Saccharomyces cerevisiae S288C: one gene and its partners. The protein of the gene in region 1 interacts with the protein of each later gene in a biochemical or structural test. Each region holds a gene or a part of one and is shown in the gene's direction. Other genes may lie near its edges. The genes, in order: ROD1, CNA1, STE2 and YPK1.

What was found.
Region 2: the proteins of ROD1 (region 1) and CNA1 form a complex in vitro, tested with the Saccharomyces cerevisiae proteins (2 studies listed by BioGRID, with this or other methods).
Region 3: the proteins of ROD1 (region 1) and STE2 form a complex in vitro, tested with the Saccharomyces cerevisiae proteins (one study listed by BioGRID).
Region 4: of the proteins of ROD1 (region 1) and YPK1, one has a biochemical effect on the other in vitro, tested with the Saccharomyces cerevisiae proteins (2 studies listed by BioGRID).

The regions. Positions count from the first base shown.
Region 1 is NC_001147.6:362,436-367,423, forward strand, and holds ROD1 (Rod1p), read left to right. Parts: upstream 1-1,933; coding exon 1,934-4,447; downstream 4,448-4,988. Other genes in the region: PET127 (Pet127p), read left to right, coding at 1-1,379. UniProt on the Saccharomyces cerevisiae protein: Mediates resistance to o-dinitrobenzene, calcium and zinc.
Region 2 is NC_001144.5:1,003,847-1,007,700, reverse strand, and holds CNA1 (calcineurin catalytic subunit A), read left to right. Parts: upstream 1-1,692; coding exon 1,693-3,354; downstream 3,355-3,854. Other genes in the region: ECM30 (Ecm30p), read left to right, coding at 1-280; TSR2 (Tsr2p), read right to left, coding at 706-1,323; IMP dehydrogenase IMD3, read right to left, coding at 3,573-3,854. UniProt on the Saccharomyces cerevisiae protein: Calcium-dependent, calmodulin-stimulated protein phosphatase. This subunit may have a role in the calmodulin activation of calcineurin.
Region 3 is NC_001138.5:80,839-84,392, forward strand, and holds STE2 (alpha-factor pheromone receptor STE2), read left to right. Parts: upstream 1-1,741; coding exon 1,742-3,037; downstream 3,038-3,554. Other genes in the region: GTPase-activating protein GYP8, read right to left, coding at 1-1,074; BST1 (Bst1p), read right to left, coding at 3,307-3,554. UniProt on the Saccharomyces cerevisiae protein: Fungal class D1 G-protein-coupled receptor that acts as an alpha-factor pheromone receptor performing pheromone-dependent signal transduction involved in cellular conjugation, mating projection assembly, and in cell fusion.
Region 4 is NC_001143.9:203,906-208,336, forward strand, and holds YPK1 (serine/threonine protein kinase YPK1), read left to right. Parts: upstream 1-1,801; coding exon 1,802-3,844; downstream 3,845-4,431. Other genes in the region: phosphoglucomutase PGM1, read left to right, coding at 1-1,348; RRN3 (rDNA-binding RNA polymerase I transcriptional factor), read left to right, coding at 4,342-4,431. UniProt on the Saccharomyces cerevisiae protein: Plays an essential role in the proliferation of yeast cells. Involved in a signaling pathway, required for optimal cell wall integrity, that acts in parallel with the PKC1-SLT2-dependent pathway.

The DNA.
Region 1 (4,988 bases):
GTCATTATCTTGAAGACTTTTTAACGGAAAAGTCCCTGAAGAATAGTTCAAAAAGTGAAAATTATCACTATTCTAGTATAGATGAATTCATTGTGAGATCTCAATTGGACGCGTACGACCCAAATCTACCTGGAACGGGTGTATTTGATCTGAAGACAAGAGCAGTTTCTGCCATAAGATACGATTTATCACATGTAGAGAGTAATAACAACCAAACTGGATATGAGATAGATAAAGTTTATGGGGAATTTGAGTCTTTGGAAAGAGAATATTTTGAACTAATCAGGTCTGCCCTTCTAAAGTATTCTTTGCAAGCTAGAATTGGCAAAATGGACGGTATTTTCGTTGCATACCACAATATTTCTAAGATGTTTGGATTCCAATATCTACCTTTGGACGAATTAGATTATATAATCCATTCTTCGTATAACAGCAAATTCGACAGTTTGTTAAAGGAGAAGAATGATATCACAAAAGGGATATATGGTGAGGAGGACTACATTCTACACTATGACAGGGACGATAGGAAAATTGCTTGCTTGGTGGCTAATAGGGAATTTAAGATGTCTATGAATCTGTTCAGTAATATTTTGAAACACGTTGAGCAGTTACTTAACTCAAGTAATACGAAATGGGAAAAATGCAAAATAATGCTTAAAACCGAAGTTGAAGAAAAACGATCCAAAAGTGGCCGCTTCTTTAACGAACCGGTGCTAAATATTGTAGCCCTGCCGTTGTCACCTGAGTACGAGGATAAATCTTTATTGGTAAAGGATACTTCGAACGAACAATTAACAGAGGAGCTACTAAACCTCCGCTCATATAACGAAAATCTTTTGGAGGAACACCTGAATTCCTTAGTTGGATTTAAAGTAAATGTCAAGCATTTCTATCACCATCATCCTAATACTACACATCTACCTGATTTTGCTTTAAAAAAGAACGATATTCTCGACACCGAATCCCGTAAATATATTTCTGACATGATGAAACGAGACTGGTACAAAGATATACCATCTACACAGACTCCAAACTTTTTCCACGCTTCCGATGTTTCCACTTGGGAGGTGAACTCTACTTTTACAGATATCAATGACAAACAAATTTTACGAAAACTATACTTTAAATATTTGGATGTTAAATTAAACGCATTGAAAAATCAAGTAATCACACGTCAGGAACCTGATATGTCTAAAAAGGATGAAATTATGAATCGAATCAAATCACTACAAGCCCGCAATGATCACCGCGATAATGGAAGTAACAAAAGATATTCTAATTTTGGCCCTACCCGACTGCAAACTAAACTGCGCGCATATGCTAAAAAAGGTGCCCTTCGAAGAAAACTATTAGAAAGGAGTAACAAGTTCCATATCTAGAAGACAGTAGTCAGCGTTGGGCAATCTAATGTTATAGGTGAAGTTTTACTACTTTAATGTATTCACTCACAACTTTCGACCTTATGTAATTATTCTATGTATTTTTAGATATGTCCATACAATGCATTATTCTTGTAATTATAACACATATTAATTAAACAATGGGTCAAAAAGAGTCGAGTCCCTTGGTACATATTATGTTACATTACTGATTAAGTTGAATAAAAGCATCTAACTTTAAGGAATCTGCTTTATTTTGAAGACCGAAAACTACGAGTAAAAATAGGAGTTTTAATGCGGATGAATGTCTAACCCCAGAGATGGGTTCTCCGATAAAAACTGAGAAGCTTCCTGTTCACAGTTTTTATAAATTATTTTGTATGGCTGGGCTCTTGCAATTTTCAGCGTTTTTTTATTAAGCGAAAAAAACAGAACAGGGGTCCCCTATTCAAATATAGACGTCAAAAAGATGCAGATCTAAAACTAATTAACAACCATACAGAAATCAACGCGATTTCATCACACCATTCGCTTCTCTTCCTCCATAAGTAATAATGTTTTCATCATCATCTCGACCTTCAAAAGAGCCATTACTATTTGACATCAGACTTAGAAATTTGGACAATGATGTTTTACTGATAAAAGGCCCCCCTGATGAGGCATCTTCTGTCCTACTATCTGGAACTATAGTATTGTCAATTACTGAGCCAATTCAAATCAAGTCTTTGGCTTTGAGACTTTTTGGTAGGTTGAGACTAAATATTCCAACGGTTTTACAAACTGTTCATGGGCCGCATAAGCGATACTCAAAGTTTGAGAGAAACATATATTCTCATTTTTGGGATGATTTTAATATAAAAAGTTATTTCCAAAACTTGTACGATAATCATAATAATGGTAAAATAACAATTTCTAGTAAATCCTCAACAAATTTAGCAGCATTGCCAAAGAGAAAAAGAGCCCTTTCTACTGCATCATTGATATCAAGTAATGGGCAGACAAGCGCAAGCAAAAACTATCACACCTTAGTAAAAGGTAACTACGAATTCCCTTTCAGCGCGATTATTCCTGGGTCATTAGTGGAAAGTGTAGAAGGCCTACCAAATGCTGCCGTCACTTATGCTCTGGAAGCTACTATCGAGAGACCTAAGCAGCCCGACTTGATCTGTAAAAAACATCTAAGAGTTATTCGAACGTTAGCTATAGATGCAGTCGAGTTATCTGAAACAGTATCAGTGGATAACTCATGGCCTGAAAAAGTCGATTATACGATCTCCATTCCAACTAAGGCAATTGCCATTGGCTCTTCCACCATGATCAATATTTTAATTGTTCCTATATTAAAAGGATTGAAGTTAGGCCCTGTTAGGATCAGTTTGGTGGAAAATTCCCAGTATTGTGGTAGCTATGGAGGGGTTATCAACCAAGAAAGAATGGTGGCTAAATTAAAACTAAAAGATCCCCTGAAGCACGTTGCCCAAATAAAGAAGAAGAGGAGCCTAAATGAAGCTGCCGACGAAGGGGTTGATACGGACACAGGGGAATTTCAAGATAAATGGGAAGTTCGAGCTTTATTAAACATACCTGCAAGCCTGACTAAATGCTCCCAAGACTGTCGCATTTTATCTAATATCAAAGTCCGTCATAAGATCAAGTTCACTATAAGTTTACTCAATCCGGACGGTCATATTTCAGAATTGCGTGCGGCACTGCCTGTCCAATTATTCATTTCACCGTTTGTTCCAGTCAATGTAAAGACCTCCGATGTTATTGAAAGAACGCTCAAAACGTTTGGACCCTCATATCAAGTAACAAGTCAGCACGATAATTCATTCAGCAGCAAAAACTTTGTAGACGATAGTGAAGAAGATGTGATTTTTCAAAGATCTGCTTCTGCGTTACAATTGTCTTCAATGCCAACCATAGTATCTGGCTCTACTTTAAATATCAATAGTACTGATGCAGAGGCTACCGCAGTCGCTGACACAACTATGGTAACTAGTTTGATGGTACCTCCCAACTACGGCAATCACGTTTACGATCGAGTGTATGGCGAGGTAACTAATGAAGACGAAACTTCAGCATCAGCTTCTTCAAGTGCCGTCGAATCACAGGCAATTCACAATATTCAAAACCTATATATATCGGATAGTAACAATAGCAATAATCCTATTTTGGCACCAAATCCTCAAATCAAGATTGAAGATGATAGCCTAAATAATTGTGACTCTCGAGGGGACAGCGTTAACAATAGTAACCTGAATCTGGTTAATAGTAATCTAACAATTAGTGAAAATTGGAACAATAACTCTCCTTCTGCAAATAGATATAATAACATCATTAATGCTGGATTGAATAGTCCTTCACTGACACCAAGCTTTGCACATTTATCTAGGCGTAACTCATATAGTCGCCAAACATCTTCTACATCGCTGAAGAACGATTTGGAACTGACAGATTTAAGCAGAGTTCCCTCGTATGATAAAGCAATGAAATCTGATATGATTGGTGAGGATCTTCCACCGGCTTATCCCGAGGAAGAACTTGGAGTTCAAGAAAATAAAAAAATTGAACTAGAAAGGCCACAAATTCTTCATCACAAGTCTACATCCTCTTTGTTGCCACTTCCAGGCTCGAGCAAGAGTTCCAATAATCTGAAAAGATCGTCTAGTAGGACACATTTATCCCACTCTCCATTACCAAGGAATAATAGCGGATCCTCAGTATCATTGCAGCAGTTGGCGAGAAACAACACAGATAGTTCATTTAATCTAAATCTCTCTTTCACTTCAGCAAAAAGCAGCACAGGAAGCAGACATTTTCCGTTTAATATGACAACATCTTTCACTAGTAATTCAAGTTCCAAGAACAATTCACATTTTGATAAAACTGATTCTACATCTGACGCTAATAAGCCAAGAGAAGAGGAAAACTATACGAGCGCAACCCACAATCGAAGGTCACGCTCATCGTCAGTTCGGAGCAACAATAGCAACTCACCATTAAGACAAGGAACAGGTTCATTTGCTAATTTAATGGAGATGTTCACAAAACGGGATCGCTCATAGACTGCTTTATTTTTTGTCTTCGAAATTTCGACAAAAAGATATGAGCAATACTTCATACACGTTTGTACAGTTAAGCATATATACTTTGATAGAGTACTTTCATACCTCATACCACTTGAAAAATGATAATATAATGTTATAATACTACCTCATAATTGCTATAAAGTAAAACAATTCGGCGTTGTAGTTTATGCTTCTATAATCACAAAAAAATTTCACTGAAGTTGTCAGATTCTGCCGCAAGGCTTCTCATAGATTTTGTTAAGTGGTCTTACTCGGTTTTATGGCTTGAAGGTTAACATAATTATGAAAACTTATTGATATCCTCCCCACCCCTAACGTTTTAAAAATGATCTCGTCCAATATGTTTGAGGTGAATAATATCGGACCAGTTCTTGTTTTTAAAAGATAAGAATTGCTCATATTTCCCATACTTGTTGGAAAATTTCTCTCAACAATTGTATGAAGGCAAAATCCCTCAATTGAAACATTAAAATAGTGATTAGAAAAACAGGATTAATCAGTTATACGAACGTATTTT
Region 2 (3,854 bases), on another chromosome or scaffold:
CACGTCAATCATTACAGATAATTTGAATAGTTATATGTTTGAAGAAGAAATTAGTCCCGGCGTTGTAAACAACATAATTGAAAATAACATTTGGGTTGGAACCGACATCCGACTATTTAAGATCGCAAACTTCAGAAAAGAATCTTTTTCATTTCTGGAAATGACATCTTCTTTTTTCAAGAAATTTAAATTCATTAATAGCGATAATGACAATTATAATAATAACGAATTTGATGATAATACACAGTTAAGATATACCTCTAGAGGGTTGTATAGATAGACACAAATTTTGACAATCACAAAGAAGAAAAAAGAAACTATTTACATATTTAAACATCTACCTCATGATTATTTATGTACGAAAATTTATAATTTAGTATAATTTAGTATTTTTTGCTTCTTATACTTAGCTTTAACTTAGCTGAACGATTAGACCTTAGCAAACACAAAATATAAAAATATGAAACATAAAAAATACACATGTTGAAGAAAAGTAAAAATCTTCACGTAGCGATGCATTGCCCACCTTTTAAATCTATATTGAAGATCTCCTCTAGAAGTCCAATGTTTAATACGTAACTTTCTTGATATATATTACATATTTTGGATAACTCCACCGAGATTTATCTAATTTTGTTGCTATTTCTTACTGGAAGTGCAAAAAAGCAGCGCACTATCAATTATAATATACAGATTTTGAAGATACTAGTGCTTTCTTCTTCCTTTTGGTTGAACCAATTCAAAACCGTCTTCGTCAACAATTGGTTCAGGTTTAGACGATACTAAGTCAGGTACAACCTCGTCCATCTCTTCATCTTCATCTTCGTCATCATAGTCCTCTACATCTTCATCGTCTTCATCATCATCACCCTCAATATGCACAACTCTTTTTGATTTTTTAGTTCTCTGCTTTTCTTGCCATTCCAAATACAATTTTTCTACCTTATTATAATTTAAATTGAAACAGTCGTTATATATGTTGATGACCTCCACGGCAATCGGTAAAGCCGAGTCGTCTTCAACATTAGTTTCAAATTCATCTATCATTGCATAAAGTAACGTTTCTTCGATTAAAGCGGCGTCAACAACTTTTTCATTTTTGAAAAGGTCTACTACAATCCCTGTAATCCAGTCTCTCTTCTCAGCTGAGTCTGGACCACCCCAACTGTTTTCTACGGCAACATCCAACGCATCCCACTTATAAATAACCATGGAAACACCGAGCTCAAAACGTGCCTGTTGCTTTTCGTCAGAGAACATTAGATTGGTTTTACCTTGCTCAGCCTGAACAAATGCTGTCTCATCAATATATTGTGTGCTCATTGTTCCGTAAGGATTATCACTATAAAAATTTTTCGCAGATTTCTTTGGACTCCACCTTTCTTCCTGTTGCAATAAATACAAACTGTTTGAATCATTTTGATATTCATCTATATCTATTTCAAAATTTTTCATGTCATCGCCTCTTGAAACATGAATTTTCCAATTCTGAAAAAGAACGTACTACTGGGAAACAAAAGGGAAAAATGTATAAATCCTTTAATGTTTTTGAATCAAGAGGCATTATTATAAAAGAACGAAGCAAAGCCTTTAATATTTGCTTTATTAAAGGTATTATTCAAAGAAAAGTTTTTTTAGATTCTTTTTTTTTTGACGTATTAGCTCAGCTGCCATAAAACACTCTCAACGCCAATGTCGAAAGACTTGAATTCTTCACGCATCAAAATCATTAAACCTAATGACTCTTACATAAAGGTTGACCGGAAAAAAGATTTAACAAAATACGAATTAGAAAACGGTAAAGTAATTTCTACTAAGGACCGACCTATCGCTTCTGTACCTGCCATAACAGGAAAGATACCAAGTGATGAGGAAGTATTCGACTCCAAGACGGGATTACCTAATCATTCCTTTTTAAGAGAGCATTTCTTTCATGAGGGTCGACTTTCTAAGGAACAGGCCATAAAAATCTTAAATATGTCAACTGTAGCATTGAGTAAAGAACCCAATCTACTAAAACTCAAAGCGCCAATTACTATATGTGGTGATATTCACGGGCAGTATTATGATTTATTGAAACTGTTTGAAGTTGGCGGTGACCCCGCCGAAATCGACTATTTATTCTTGGGGGATTATGTTGATAGAGGTGCATTCTCTTTTGAGTGTCTGATTTATTTGTACTCCTTGAAGTTGAATAATTTAGGGAGATTTTGGATGCTAAGAGGTAACCATGAGTGTAAGCACTTGACCTCTTATTTTACTTTTAAGAATGAGATGTTGCACAAATACGATATGGAAGTTTACGATGCTTGCTGCAGATCATTCAATGTCTTACCATTAGCAGCTTTAATGAACGGACAATATTTTTGTGTGCATGGTGGTATCTCTCCAGAGTTAAAATCAGTAGAGGATGTTAATAAAATTAATAGATTTCGAGAAATCCCATCTCGTGGTCTCATGTGTGACCTACTATGGGCCGATCCTGTCGAAAATTATGATGATGCAAGAGATGGTAGCGAATTTGATCAGAGCGAGGATGAATTCGTACCTAACAGTTTGAGGGGTTGCTCTTTCGCCTTCACTTTTAAAGCATCATGCAAGTTTTTGAAGGCAAATGGTTTGTTATCTATTATTAGAGCACACGAAGCACAGGATGCTGGGTACAGAATGTATAAAAACAATAAAGTAACAGGCTTCCCGAGCTTAATAACCATGTTCAGTGCGCCAAACTACCTGGACACATATCATAATAAAGCTGCTGTGTTAAAATATGAAGAAAACGTCATGAACATCAGGCAGTTTCACATGTCTCCGCACCCTTACTGGTTGCCTGATTTTATGGATGTTTTCACCTGGTCACTACCTTTTGTTGGCGAAAAAGTTACTAGCATGTTAGTGTCTATATTAAACATATGTAGTGAGCAGGAACTTGACCCAGAATCGGAACCCAAAGCTGCGGAGGAGACTGTAAAGGCAAGAGCAAACGCAACTAAGGAGACCGGCACCCCATCTGATGAAAAGGCGTCATCAGCGATATTAGAAGATGAAACCCGAAGAAAGGCTTTGAGAAATAAGATATTAGCTATTGCTAAAGTTTCAAGAATGTTTTCGGTGCTAAGAGAAGAGAGCGAAAAAGTGGAATATTTGAAAACTATGAATGCCGGTGTCTTACCTCGTGGTGCTCTAGCTCGTGGGACTGAAGGTTTGAATGAAACGCTAAGCACTTTTGAAAAGGCTAGAAAGGAAGACCTTATTAATGAAAAATTACCACCATCTTTATCGGAGGTTGAACAAGAGAAGATTAAATACTACGAAAAAATATTAAAGGGAGCGGAGAAAAAGCCACAACTGTGATAAATCTCATTTTATTCTTTTTTATTCCTATGAGATGCAACATCGAATTCTTGTGCTACTGTCACGATCCGCAAGAGATAATATGAACTAACAAAATACGAAGAAAATATAGATCATTTCCAGTCTATTTCTTGATTTCCATACTTAACTGCGAGCAGAATAAATATAAACACATATTTTTTAGTTTTATTTTATTATTAATGAACCCTAGTTACCAATTAGTTATGTAAACGCTTTTCGTAAGAATGTAAGTTATGAACACCACCTTCTAGTTGAGCAGAAGCGGTTCTAAATTCAAATCTAACTTTACCGCTTTGGACATTTTCCTTTAATAAAGTTAGGGACTTGTAACCAATGTCTTGACAAGAATGTTGTAAACCGTTGTACAAATATGGAATAAATTTCTTGATAGAACCTTTGTCAACGACAGCACCGGAGACACCTTGTGCGACCAAAACACTGTCTGATTCGGAAAAGTAACGGGAGGTAGATGCATTACC
Region 3 (3,554 bases), on another chromosome or scaffold:
CCGTTTCAAAGCCTTCTTGCTGGCAGTAGTCGCATCTTTTCTAGTTATTTGCAAGACTTCTTCCCAAAGCGCCTCATCATACAGTTTTTTCTGTAAAACTGTTTGTATAGCACCATGGCGCAGGTCAAAATCGTTCTCGAAGAAATCAGAATTAGCTTCTATTTGCTTCGAAATTTCAGACGCATTTTGCAATAGCAGGTTCTTGTATATGATCAAAGGTAAACGCATAGATTGCATCGATATTGTCATGTCAAATATCTGGAAAAGAATTTTATGAAGATTGTTGTCACCGCTATCTATAGGTTTCAAATTATGTGCAAAGATTGTCAATATTGACCCAATAGCGAAAAGGGGCTCATTTTCGTCAAATTTGAATAGATTATAGAATTTCATGTTTGATTCCTTTATCAATGAAGAGATTACTCTCAATTGCTCAAATGAAAAATCTAGTGAGTTCATCATGAAATCCCTCAGATATAATAGGGTAAATGCTTCGATGCAATAAAACAGCCTTTCCATATCAATTTCTTCTTGCAATGAGAGATTTTCTAGTTCCAGTCCGTTCTCTTTTGTGACATTCCAACTAAAACACATGATGAAAACAGACACAATATCATGATAACCTTGGTAATAGTTCAACGTTGGGTACTTTCTCAATACCCGAGTAATTAACTCCACCAGTAGTTTTCTCAATTGCAGTTTCAAGTTTTTGTCGACAATTCCACCAAAAGACCTTTCTGCATCCAATATCACCTGACCTTCATCTTTATGTTTTTCCACTGGTGTAATGTACTCTGTTGCATCATCAATAAGCAACTGGGACGCCAATAATTCATACCAACAATCTTTTCTTAATGAGTTGTTTACAAACCCCAGAGGCCCTAAACCTATGTACCTCAAAGCTCGGACATCTTTTTTCTCTAATAACTTTGATATAACTTTTCCTTTTTGTTCTTCTGCCTTTCCACTGTCACAACGAGAAAGTGATTCCAGATATGCGTTATAACCTCCCCTTGTCAACGCGTCTTTGTCGTGGCTACTCTGATTAGTATGAAATAATGACCTTAATGGCATCGTATTTTGTTAATTGGCTTGTTCTATGTCATTTGCTAAATTTTCTCTTTATTTCTTTACTTTGCCAATTCAAGATAATCTTCCCTTCCCAGAGAGAAAAAAGGAAAAATTTAGCTATGAAACCTCAATAAGCTTTTTAATACACCAAAGATTCAAGATAAGAGCATAGAACGAACTGTAGAATAGTCCGGATATGTTATCCAATGCCTGCCAAAATGCATTGTCACACGCTGTAGTGCTCGAATAGGTGTTGCAATCCGTCAATATACGTCTTGCTCTGTGGGTAAATGTCTCGTGCATTAAGACAGGCTAGTATAAACGAGAAGAAGTATCCTGCTTTGCAATGAAACAATAGTATCCGCTAAGAATTTAAGCAGGCCAACGTCCATACTGCTTAGGACCTGTGCCTGGCAAGTCGCAGATTGAAGTTTTTTCAACCATGTAAATTTCCTAATTGGGTAAGTACATGATGAAACACATATGAAGAAAAAAGCTTTCCTACATATTCAAGATTTTTTTCTGTGGGTGGAATACTATTTAAGGAGTGCTATTAGTATCTTATTTGACTTCAAAGCAATACGATACCTTTTCTTTTCACCTGCTCTGGCTATAATTATAATTGGTTACTTAAAAATGCACCGTTAAGAACCATATCCAAGAATCAAAAATGTCTGATGCGGCTCCTTCATTGAGCAATCTATTTTATGATCCAACGTATAATCCTGGTCAAAGCACCATTAACTACACTTCCATATATGGGAATGGATCTACCATCACTTTCGATGAGTTGCAAGGTTTAGTTAACAGTACTGTTACTCAGGCCATTATGTTTGGTGTCAGATGTGGTGCAGCTGCTTTGACTTTGATTGTCATGTGGATGACATCGAGAAGCAGAAAAACGCCGATTTTCATTATCAACCAAGTTTCATTGTTTTTAATCATTTTGCATTCTGCACTCTATTTTAAATATTTACTGTCTAATTACTCTTCAGTGACTTACGCTCTCACCGGATTTCCTCAGTTCATCAGTAGAGGTGACGTTCATGTTTATGGTGCTACAAATATAATTCAAGTCCTTCTTGTGGCTTCTATTGAGACTTCACTGGTGTTTCAGATAAAAGTTATTTTCACAGGCGACAACTTCAAAAGGATAGGTTTGATGCTGACGTCGATATCTTTCACTTTAGGGATTGCTACAGTTACCATGTATTTTGTAAGCGCTGTTAAAGGTATGATTGTGACTTATAATGATGTTAGTGCCACCCAAGATAAATACTTCAATGCATCCACAATTTTACTTGCATCCTCAATAAACTTTATGTCATTTGTCCTGGTAGTTAAATTGATTTTAGCTATTAGATCAAGAAGATTCCTTGGTCTCAAGCAGTTCGATAGTTTCCATATTTTACTCATAATGTCATGTCAATCTTTGTTGGTTCCATCGATAATATTCATCCTCGCATACAGTTTGAAACCAAACCAGGGAACAGATGTCTTGACTACTGTTGCAACATTACTTGCTGTATTGTCTTTACCATTATCATCAATGTGGGCCACGGCTGCTAATAATGCATCCAAAACAAACACAATTACTTCAGACTTTACAACATCCACAGATAGGTTTTATCCAGGCACGCTGTCTAGCTTTCAAACTGATAGTATCAACAACGATGCTAAAAGCAGTCTCAGAAGTAGATTATATGACCTATATCCTAGAAGGAAGGAAACAACATCGGATAAACATTCGGAAAGAACTTTTGTTTCTGAGACTGCAGATGATATAGAGAAAAATCAGTTTTATCAGTTGCCCACACCTACGAGTTCAAAAAATACTAGGATAGGACCGTTTGCTGATGCAAGTTACAAAGAGGGAGAAGTTGAACCCGTCGACATGTACACTCCCGATACGGCAGCTGATGAGGAAGCCAGAAAGTTCTGGACTGAAGATAATAATAATTTATGATCAAAATTTACGGCTTTGAAAAAGTAATTTCGTGACCTTCGGTATAAGGTTACTACTAGATTCAGGTGCTCATCAGATGCACCACATTCTCTATAAAAAAAAATGGTATCTTTCTTATTTGATAATATTTAAACTCCTTTACATAATAAACATCTCGTAAGTAGTGGTAGAAACCACCTTTGCTTTTACGAGTTCAAGCTTTTTTCTTGCCATGATCTAGAACTCTCAGGCAATATATACAGTTAATCTTTTTTTACTGGGTTGTAGTTCTAATGTATTGTTTCGAAAAATAGCAACCAGGCACATATTATGTTCACCAAGTGGTGTATCCAGTACAGATTTCTTATTCCATAAATGAAACTGAAAACGGTTAAGTACACAAATAAAATGATGGTAACTTTACCATCCCACGTGTCTAAAGGTACGCTGTTTGGCATTTTGAAAATAGAATTATTTCCAACCAAAAAAATAATTGGTGCCACTGCTAGTATATTGTGATGGGATCTAAATGAAGTTT
Region 4 (4,431 bases), on another chromosome or scaffold:
CCCAGGCGGTCCAGAGAATGATTTAGGTATCAAGTATAATTTACCTAATGGTGGGCCAGCTCCAGAGAGTGTCACTAACGCTATCTGGGAAGCGTCTAAAAAATTAACTCACTATAAAATTATAAAGAACTTCCCCAAGTTGAATTTGAACAAGCTTGGTAAAAACCAAAAATATGGCCCATTGTTAGTGGACATAATTGATCCTGCCAAAGCATACGTTCAATTTCTGAAGGAAATTTTTGATTTTGACTTAATTAAAAGCTTCTTAGCGAAACAGCGCAAAGACAAAGGGTGGAAGTTGTTGTTTGACTCCTTAAATGGTATTACAGGACCATATGGTAAGGCTATATTTGTTGATGAATTTGGTTTACCGGCAGAGGAAGTTCTTCAAAATTGGCACCCTTTACCTGATTTCGGCGGTTTACATCCCGATCCGAATCTAACCTATGCACGAACTCTTGTTGACAGGGTTGACCGCGAAAAAATTGCCTTTGGAGCAGCCTCCGATGGTGATGGTGATAGGAATATGATTTACGGTTATGGCCCTGCTTTCGTTTCGCCAGGTGATTCTGTTGCCATTATTGCCGAATATGCACCCGAAATTCCATACTTCGCCAAACAAGGTATTTATGGCTTGGCACGTTCATTTCCTACATCCTCAGCCATTGATCGTGTTGCAGCAAAAAAGGGATTAAGATGTTACGAAGTTCCAACCGGCTGGAAATTCTTCTGTGCCTTATTTGATGCTAAAAAGCTATCAATCTGTGGTGAAGAATCCTTCGGTACAGGTTCCAATCATATCAGAGAAAAGGACGGTCTATGGGCCATTATTGCTTGGTTAAATATCTTGGCTATCTACCATAGGCGTAACCCTGAAAAGGAAGCTTCGATCAAAACTATTCAGGACGAATTTTGGAACGAGTATGGCCGTACTTTCTTCACAAGATACGATTACGAACATATCGAATGCGAGCAGGCCGAAAAAGTTGTAGCTCTTTTGAGTGAATTTGTATCAAGGCCAAACGTTTGTGGCTCCCACTTCCCAGCTGATGAGTCTTTAACCGTTATCGATTGTGGTGATTTTTCGTATAGAGATCTAGATGGCTCCATCTCTGAAAATCAAGGCCTTTTCGTAAAGTTTTCGAATGGGACTAAATTTGTTTTGAGGTTATCCGGCACAGGCAGTTCTGGTGCAACAATAAGATTATACGTAGAAAAGTATACTGATAAAAAGGAGAACTATGGCCAAACAGCTGACGTCTTCTTGAAACCCGTCATCAACTCCATTGTAAAATTCTTAAGATTTAAAGAAATTTTAGGAACAGACGAACCAACAGTCCGCACATAGAATTATTGGTCTTGAACAAGCACTAATTTTCCAAAGATGTTTTAACTGATCTTAATTTATATGTAGAGGATATATGTAGTATATCTATTTTTTGCTGATTGACTTATCAATTAGCTTCATAATACAACATTGTTTTTGTTTTTCGTTACTCGCGACTTTCTTCGCGGCAGAGCCGCGCTACAGGAAAACAAGATCAAAACATGCCCCTATTGGAAGGCTTAAAAAATGCTTATCCCGAACGAGCCAACGGTAATCAACACTATCGTCATACCAACAACAGTTGAGTTATTTTTCGCTCCCATACTTTTTAGAATTGGTTTGTTTGTGTTTGGTTAAATTTCAAAGCCTTTATATTCTTTGATATAGATTACTCTACAATTTCTTTGTATACAGCGGGAAATTGACACTTCAAAGTTCCTCTCATATCAACAAACATTAATACAGTTCCTGAAAATGTATTCTTGGAAGTCAAAGTTTAAGTTTGGAAAATCTAAAGAAGAAAAAGAAGCCAAACATAGTGGGTTTTTTCACTCCTCTAAAAAGGAAGAACAGCAGAATAATCAAGCAACTGCGGGGGAACATGATGCTTCAATTACTCGTTCATCTTTAGACAGGAAGGGCACGATAAATCCATCAAATTCATCAGTGGTCCCGGTTCGTGTTTCATACGATGCATCCTCATCGACCTCTACTGTACGAGATTCAAATGGTGGTAATTCAGAAAACACGAACTCATCTCAAAATTTAGATGAAACAGCAAATATTGGTTCTACAGGGACACCCAATGATGCCACCTCAAGTTCAGGAATGATGACTATCAAAGTATATAATGGTGATGACTTTATTTTACCTTTTCCGATTACCTCAAGCGAGCAAATATTGAATAAACTATTGGCCTCGGGTGTTCCACCGCCACATAAGGAGATTAGTAAAGAAGTAGATGCTTTAATTGCACAACTGTCCCGTGTTCAAATAAAGAACCAAGGTCCAGCTGATGAAGATTTGATCTCTAGCGAGTCAGCAGCAAAGTTCATCCCATCTACTATCATGTTACCAGGGTCTTCGACCTTAAATCCCTTACTATATTTCACCATTGAATTTGATAATACAGTTGCAACTATTGAAGCAGAGTATGGTACGATCGCTAAACCTGGTTTCAATAAGATATCTACCTTTGATGTGACAAGGAAATTACCTTATTTAAAGATTGATGTATTTGCAAGAATTCCGTCCATTCTTTTGCCCTCGAAGACATGGCAACAGGAGATGGGTTTGCAAGACGAGAAGCTACAGACCATTTTTGATAAAATAAATTCCAATCAAGATATACATTTAGATTCTTTCCATTTGCCCATCAACTTAAGTTTTGACTCTGCAGCTAGTATTAGACTATATAATCACCACTGGATCACATTGGATAATGGCTTGGGTAAGATCAATATTAGTATTGATTATAAACCTTCCAGAAATAAACCTTTGTCCATCGATGATTTCGATCTTTTGAAAGTTATCGGTAAGGGTTCGTTTGGTAAAGTGATGCAAGTCAGAAAGAAAGATACACAAAAAGTATACGCTTTGAAGGCAATCAGAAAATCATACATTGTCTCTAAATCCGAAGTCACGCATACTTTGGCAGAAAGAACCGTTCTAGCACGTGTTGATTGTCCATTTATTGTACCTTTGAAGTTTTCTTTCCAATCACCGGAAAAATTATACTTTGTTTTAGCGTTTATCAATGGTGGTGAGTTGTTTTATCATCTACAAAAGGAAGGAAGGTTTGATTTATCACGTGCCAGATTTTATACCGCAGAATTGTTATGTGCGCTAGACAACTTGCATAAACTAGATGTTGTCTATCGTGATTTGAAACCAGAGAATATTTTATTGGATTATCAAGGCCACATTGCCCTTTGTGATTTCGGGCTATGCAAATTGAATATGAAGGATGATGATAAGACAGATACTTTTTGTGGGACCCCAGAATACTTGGCACCAGAACTATTGCTAGGTTTAGGCTATACAAAGGCAGTAGATTGGTGGACATTGGGAGTCTTGTTATACGAGATGCTCACAGGTCTTCCTCCTTATTATGATGAAGATGTTCCAAAAATGTATAAGAAGATTCTACAGGAGCCACTAGTTTTCCCAGATGGATTTGATAGAGATGCAAAGGATCTATTGATTGGATTATTGAGCCGTGATCCGACAAGAAGATTGGGCTACAATGGTGCCGACGAAATTCGGAACCATCCTTTTTTCAGCCAATTATCATGGAAGCGCCTGTTGATGAAGGGTTATATTCCACCATATAAACCAGCTGTTAGTAATTCCATGGATACTAGTAATTTCGATGAGGAATTCACTAGGGAGAAGCCAATTGATAGTGTGGTAGATGAATACTTGAGTGAAAGTGTTCAAAAGCAATTTGGTGGCTGGACATACGTTGGAAATGAACAGCTAGGTAGCTCAATGGTGCAAGGTAGAAGCATTAGATAGACTTAGTGAATACATTATCAACTAGTTTACTCATGACATACTTTATATAAAAAGAAAGGTTTTCTTTTCCGTTACTTACTGTGTTCAAGATGAAGCAACTGTACCAATGGCGCAATTTAAGTTCTAGGATTTATATTTCGAACGTGGGCAATACTTCACACATGTGTGGCTTGTGTCTCATGGTCATAGCGTATTGCCTCAGCTTATTCTGATTAGATAAAGGATTTCCTCTCTTACCCTTCCGAGATCCGTGTCGATGGGGCGGCAGAAAATAAAAAAAAAAAAAGGTGTTGAAAATTTTCTCCTTGTATAAAAGATATTTTGATGAGCATCTCTCGTTTGCAGTAGCTTCTCCTTTTAAAAATATAAAGGTTGTTTTAATCAGCGTTCGACTTTAAATTAACCCAAGACCCCATTGTTAAAATTCTTACCTTAACCACGAACGGATACATTGTCTGGTAAAGAAATAACTTTTGTGCAAGACAACAGCTGACAAGATGATGGCTTTTGAGAATACAAGTAAACGACCACCCCAGGACTTTGTAGCTCCTATAGATCAAAAAAAAAGGAAGGTCCAGTTTTCCGAT